Mus musculus: one gene and its partner. The protein of the gene in region 1 purifies or fractionates together with the protein of each later gene. This does not show direct contact. Links are inferred from orthologs where the notes say so. Each region holds a gene or a part of one and is shown on either strand. Other genes may lie near its edges.

Region 1 (2,398 bases):
TATTTTCAAGATTGTGGGCAGCTTTGGACCCACAATCTTCGATTGAAAGCTGGCATTAGAGGTTTGTCCAATCGAAATACCTAGAGAGCTGGGGATGTCACTCAGTGGTCCCCAGCCCTGAAACTGCTAGGCATGCCACATGTACTATCTCAGCTATTAGAAAGGCAGGGGTAGGAGTCTCACCTAATTAGGGACAACCTTGGTGTACTGGCTAGTTTTGTGTCAACTTGACACAGGCTGGAGTTATCAGAGAAAGGAGCTTCCGTTGCGAAAATGCCAACTGTAAGACATTTCCTCAATTAGTGATCAAGGGGGTAAGGGCCCCTTGTGGGTGGGACCATCACTGGGCTGGTAGTATTGGGATCTGTTAGAGAGCAGGCTGAGTAGGCCAGGGGAAGCAAGCCAGTAAGAAACATCGCTCCATTGGCTTCCTGCCATGCTTGAGTTCCAGTCCTGACTTTCTTTGGTGATGAACAGCAGTGTGGAAATGTAAGCTGAATAAACCCTTTCCTCCCCAGCTGCATCTTGGTCATGATGCTTGTGCAGTAATAGGTAAAATCCTGACTAAGACACTTGGGAACAGTATAATTCAACCTGGGACCGGTTCCTCCACCAGCAGCTTTAACTACCCCTGAATGAGCACACAGCCTCACAGCCTTTTTCCAATTCCCATTTATTTTTGGCTCTGGGGCGATGTCAACTTTTCAATATGAAAAAAAAAAAAAAAGCAGGTACAACACGAAATAGAAAGGTAGGAAATGACCAAGCCAAGGGCAGGAGGAGCATGGGGCAGAGGTGGTGACAGCCCATCTGGGCAGTGTCTGAAAGACCCAGGTGGAAACATACTTTCCCAAGTGTGGAGTTTCAGCGGGAATTGGGAGTGTTCAGAGACCAAGACCAAGACCTTGCCGCACCCCCAACCCCCATCTCTCCGAGAAAGGAGAACCAATACAGGGAAGACACTTCCAATGGCAGATTTGGCTCAGGACAGCTGGGAGGATATAAATGGAGATAATACTGTTAATACCTCTCCTGAGGCTGAGAGATGAGGCAGGAGAAAAACAAAACAAAGCCCTGCTGACTGAAAGCATAGGTGGATTCTAAATGGCCCTGACTGGAAAACCCCACCCCCTTCTCTTCCTGGTGGTCTCTACCTAGCATCCCTGATCCACTACTTTGCTTTAAGATGATGGTTACTATCCGAGTTCTTAGAATTGGGCTGGGTTCTACACAGGATCTGGAGCAGACCTCAGGTTTCTGGAGAATATTCTGGAATATTAACTGGACAGTCAAATAATAATTTAAAAAAATGGATACTTGTTGGGTGATAGTGGCACACGCCTTTAATCCCAACACTTGGGAGGCAGAGGCAGGCGGATTTCTGAGTTCCAGGACAGCCTGGGCTATATATACAGAGAAACCCTGTCTGGAAAAACCAAAAAAAAAAAAAAAAAAAAAAAAAAGATACCAGTAGGAAGCACAGGGTAACAACCAGAATGTCAGAAATCTAAGTTTGTCAGAGTGGAAAGAGAAAGGAGACATTCCACAAACAAATATTTATTGAGTGCCTGCCATGTGCCAGGCACCATTTACCCCCAATGAGAAAACAGAACAAAACAAATACAAGACAGAGGCAGCAGAAAGAAACTGGAGGACAAAGGGCAGTTGGAGAAAGCTGAGGGATCTAAGCAGCCTGAGCTGATGCAGGGCTCTCTGCCTTAGGCCTCCTCTTCTGCCTCCTCTCCGAAATCCTCTTCCTCTTCCGCGGTGGCATCCTGGTACTGCTGGTACTCAGAGACGAGGTCGTTCATGTTGCTCTCAGCTTCGGTGAACTCCATCTCGTCCATGCCCTCACCCGTATACCAGTGGAGGAAAGCCTTCCGGCGGAACATAGCCGTAAACTGCTCAGAGATGCGCTTGAAGAGCTCCTGGATGGCTGTGCTGTTTCCAATGAAGGTGACTGCCATCTTGAGGCCACGCGGTGGGATGTCACAGACAGCTGTCTTGACATTGTTGGGGATCCATTCCACGAAGTAGCTGCTATTCTTGTTCTGCACGTTGAGCATCTGCTCATCCACCTCCTTCATGGACATCCGTCCACGGAAGACGGCGGCAACTGTGAGGTACCGGCCGTGGCGCGGGTCGCAGGCGGCCATCATGTTCTTGGCATCGAAGACCTGCTGGGTAAGTTCAGGCACAGTGAGGGCCCGGTACTGCTGGCTTCCACGGCTGGTGAGAGGGGCAAAGCCAGGCATGAAGAAGTGGAGACGTGGGAATGGCACCATGTTGACAGCCAGCTTTCGAAGGTCAGCATTAAGCTGGCCCGGGAAACGGAGGCAGGTGGTGACGCCGCTCATGGTGGCCGAGACGAGATGGTTCAGGTCTCCGTAGGTTGGCG
Region 2 (4,586 bases), on another chromosome or scaffold:
CACGCACACATGCACCCATGCATGCACAAACACGCATATGTGCACACATTCAAGAACACATATATGGTTACAATTAAATAGAACCCTAGCTCTGCCCGGTAGTGGTGGCGCATGCCTTTAATCCCAGCACTTGGGACGCAGAGGCAGGCGGGTTTCTGAGTTCGAGGCCAGCCTGGTCTACAGAGTGAGTTCCAGGACAGCCAGAAAGAAAGAGAGAAAAACCTACACAGAGAAAACCCCTGTCTCGGAAAAAGCAAAAACAAACAAAAAACAAAAAAAGAGAAACTAACTCTTTGGGCCAGTGAGAAATCTCACCAATTAAAAAAAAAAAAAAAAAAAAAAAAAAAAAAAAAAAAAAACTTGCTGAGAAAGTCTGATGCTAAATTCCCTGCCTGGAACCCACATAAAAGTGCGACAATCGGGGCTGGAGAGATGGCTCAGCGGTTAAGAGCACTGACTGCTCTTAACCTGAGTTCAAATCTCAGCAACCACACCGGTGGCTCACAACAACCTATAATGAGATCTGATGCCCTCTTCTAAGGGGTCTGAAGACAGCTACAGTGTACTTACATATAAATTAATCTTAAAAAAAAAGTGTGAGAATCAGCTCCACAAAGTTGTCCTCTGATCTCCAGTGGTATGTGCAGACACGCGCGCGCGCACACACACACACACACACACACACATACAGAGTTTACACACAACAATGATGATTGTTTTGAGACAGGGTCTCAGATGTGTAGCCCTTTCTGTCCTCAATATATATACAGACCAGGCTGCCCTCAAACTCACAGAGATCCACTTGTCTATGCCACCCAGGCATTGGAATTAAAGATATGTGCCAACACAACCAGCAAAGAAAAAAAAATTTTTTTTAAAGAACTCTTGTCAAAGTCATTTACTGAAGATAATCTGATTGTACAGCTAGTACATGCCAGCAGCCATGAGGCTAAGCACCAGGTGGGCTTCAGGTTTTTTATCGTTGTTTTTTGAGACAGGCTCTGCCCTGCCAGTTTTATCCTAACAGTTGGGATAGAGCGTCTCAACCTGATAGGGTCCTAGATAGCACTCAATCCTTTGTGCGGGTCTGGTCCCTGCATTGCGGGGAGCTTGGAACTCTAAACAACCCAAGGAGGCCATACTGTCCGCACATTTAGAAATGGCCCCTAGGGGGAGTCATCATCCTCAAGTGAACGCACAGAGCCATTTCCGACAGAGTCCCGGACCAGGACCAACGGTTTTCCGTCACTGGTAAATGAATGGAAGTCACAAGATGCACTGGTGGGAACCGTATTACAGTCCCCGGATGATTCGTCAGCTCTTTGTGGAACCAGATTCCGACTCCTAGCTCAGAATCTCTTCGCGGCTACTCCCTACCCAGACGAGATACTGCTCGAGAAAGTCAGCCTCTGTCTGGCATCCGACCGAGGCCTCGGAGTCGGAAGGCTTAGGGACTTCTCCCTTGTCCCCACCAACCCTCTGCCTTCCCGACAAGGGTTAACGCAGCAGGCTTCAAAGTCGCCGCAGCGCCTCTAGGGGGCGACGCCCTGCACTCCTGTGGTCACGTGACAACGAGGGCGGCCACAAGCGCCAGGCTGGCCAATAGGAGACGGGAGCGGGGTCCCGGGACTAGAAGAAACGGCGGCCGGGAGGGGGCTACGGGATCATGGGGCTTCTGACCATTCTGAAGAAGATGAAGCAGAAAGAGCGAGAGCTGCGGCTGCTCATGCTGTATCCTCCGAGCGCTAGAGCGGTCGCGAGGGTAGCGGGGCCCGCCGGGTGGGCGGAGCCGGGCGTGGGGGGGCGCGGCCGCCGTGGGTACCTATTGCCGGTGGTGCGTCACGCACGCGGCGCTACCACTGCTCGGCGCGGGGCCGGGGAGGGCCGTACCACTCTGCGGGGTGGGGGTTGGCGTGCAGAAGGCAGCCCGGTGGTCTCAAGGCCCGGCCTAGACTTGGGACTCCAGTATCACTGCGAGGCGCGACGCAGTGGTGGTGACTCGGACGTCACGCTGCCTCGGGCTGGCCCGAGCGTGGGCCCTGCTCCTCCCTGGCGCTGACCCCCTCCCCTTCATCTACGGGTGTAGGCCTTGGCGCTTCCCTTAGGGTCGGAATCCCAGGGTCTCGAGGACCGCCTAGGCTCCTGCGAGTAGGCGTGGACTCGGTTGGCCACAGGTCCCGCTGTCACTTAAGGCCACCAGCGACCTTTCACCGCATTAACTGGCACCTGCATCACCCGTCTTGCACTGTGCCGGGCCACCTAGGCATCTGCGATCCACAAAGTAGCAGAGGGAGAAAAGGAAATTTAATGTGCACGTAGAACTTTACCACTCGTGCGTGTTTTAGACAATTCTGAGAAAGACACTCATTAGATGACCTCCAAGCACCTATGTTAGGGAATTCGGTAAAACAGGGAAGCGAAAAAGGCTTCATTTCAGATATTCTGTGATGAAAGGGGAGAAAAAATTGATAAAGCAAGTAAGATATGTAGTGTAGGATGAGAAGAATAGAGTCCACAAGGAGGTAGAGAGAGCTGGGAAAACGTAAGCAGAGGACCTGCAAGTGCGAAGGCCCTGGAGGAGGATAAGACAGGCATGTTCAAGAAAGGTTGAGAAGGAAAGAGCTGGAGAGAGGGAGAGCCCATGGGCTGGGGCCATTTAGGCAGCTGGACTATGAAGGGAGCACAGGATGGTGGCTTAGACCATGGTGGTAGTAGGAGAGTATTATGACTTGCTGCTGAATGGGAGAAGACAATGAGGGAGATGTAGCCAAGCATGAACTGGTCTCTGGCCAGAGTGTTCAGAAGGACAAGGAGCCACTTGCTGAGATGAGAGACGCATGTCCCTGGGAAGACACCAACCCTGACTGTTGGGCAGGTAGGTAGCAGCCATCAGCCTAGAAACGATCATGGGATGGCCCAGCTGGGGAGTGCTGAGACCCAGGTGTAGACGCTTGTGTGAAGTCAGATGAGGGTAACAGGATGGGGTCTGGGAGAGGGCCAAGGAAAGAGCAGCAGCGCCCGGAGCAGAGCAGAAGCTGGGCCACCCGGCCAGTGGAGAGCAGTAAGGGGGTCTTCGGAGACCTACCTGGCAAAGTGAGGCTTCAGGAAGCATCAGGAGCCAGTCTGCTAACAGTAGACCTGTAGAAAGCAAGAGGCTAAGTAAAACTGGTGCAGTGGTGAAGAACCAGGGAACAGGGGTTCAGTGCCCAGTACCCACTTGGTGCTTCACAGCCTTGTGTAACTTCAGTCCTGAGGTCCTCGTGTAGGCAAAAACTCAAAATATTCTAAGCAAACAAAAAATGAGCATGGTATCGAACACCTCGAATGCCAGCGTTCAGAAGGTAAAGGCAGGTGAATCTACGGGCTTGAGTCCAACCCGGTCTACAGAGCAAGTTCCAGGCCGGCCAAGGCTACATAGACCTTGTCTCAAAAAAAAAAAAAACCAAAATGCAGGAAAAGTCCAACATGGTGTTACATGCCTGTAGTTCTGGCACTCAAGAGGCAGAGGCTGGAGAACTTTGACAAGTTTGAGGCCAGTTTGCGTTACATAGAGTTCCAGACAAAAAAAACAAAACAAAAGAAAACAAACAAACAAACAAAAACAATACAAGCCAAAAGATGGAAGTTGGTACAATGGAGTATAACACCTGTTCCCAGGATGCACCCCAGAGGAAGCTGTGGCCGACTCAGCAGATGGTGGGGGAGTGGGTGGAGACAGGTTCTGCTGCAGTAGTGCGCAGCACTCGAGGCGTGAGGCGAGAGTTTGGTGATGAGAGGAGAAGGGATGGAAGAGTGGATGTTGTTGGATTGACAAGACAATCTGCTGGCTTTCCAAGGTGAGAGTTGGGCTGCAGAAGGTGGAAGGTATTCACCCGTGCCTCTCAAAGGTGGGAGTCACAGAGCCAGAGTCAAGTGAGTAGGAAGAGGTCCTAAATGTAGAGCCTGTCCCTTCTCCCCTCCGCTCAGGCTTTGGCTGCCCCACAGTCTCACCTGCGGTTGAGCTCACCTATTGGCTTGTTCTCTGCAACGGAGGCTGTGGATCATTCCAGAGACAGATGAAGGTGGTTGCCACCTCTAGATACTTGCCCTTTACTTGGTCCTTCAGAAGGCTGGGCCCATCTGTTTTGGGCCTCAAGACCCCACAGAGCCTTGTCTGGTATCTTAAGTTGAAAGCCATTCCTTCCAGGAATGTCCTTCACTGGTTCCAAGTACCCAACCTTCTCTTCTGCTTTATTTAGTCTTTAATTTTTTTTTTTTAAAGATTTATTTATTTATTATATGTAAGTACACTGTAGCTGTCTTCAGACACTCCAGAAGAGGGCGTCAGATCTCCTTACGGATGGTTGTGAGCCACCATGTGGTTGCTGGGATTTGAACTCCGGACCTTCGGAAGAGCAGTCGGGTGCTCTTACCCACTGAGCCATCTCACCAGCCCTAGTCTTTAATTTTTTAACACTTATTTATGGATGTGAGAACTTTGTCTGTACACTGGGGTGAGTGGCTGGTGCCCACAGAGGTCAGCATTTGGTTGTGAACCACCAGGTGGATGCTGGGAACTGAACCCAGGTCTTCTATAAGAGCAACAT

Evidence for each region.
Region 2: the proteins of Tubb5 (region 1) and Arl2 purify together in Homo sapiens (co-immunoprecipitation; 3 studies listed by BioGRID and IntAct, counting the BioPlex papers as one, with this or other methods). This does not show direct contact. The link is inferred for Mus musculus from reciprocal best matches to the Homo sapiens genes TUBB and ARL2.

The regions. Positions count from the first base shown.
Region 1 is NC_000083.6:35,833,264-35,835,661, forward strand, and holds the end of Tubb5 (tubulin beta-5 chain), read right to left. Parts: coding exon 1,719-2,398; 3' UTR 657-1,718; downstream 1-656. UniProt on the Homo sapiens protein: Tubulin is the major constituent of microtubules, a cylinder consisting of laterally associated linear protofilaments composed of alpha- and beta-tubulin heterodimers.
Region 2 is NC_000085.6:6,138,182-6,142,767, reverse strand, and holds the start of Arl2 (ADP-ribosylation factor-like protein 2), read left to right. Parts: upstream 1-1,630; 5' UTR 1,631-1,666; coding exon 1,667-1,731; exon of another isoform or gene 1,732-3,138; intron 3,139-4,586. UniProt on the Homo sapiens protein: Small GTP-binding protein which cycles between an inactive GDP-bound and an active GTP-bound form, and the rate of cycling is regulated by guanine nucleotide exchange factors (GEF) and GTPase-activating proteins (GAP).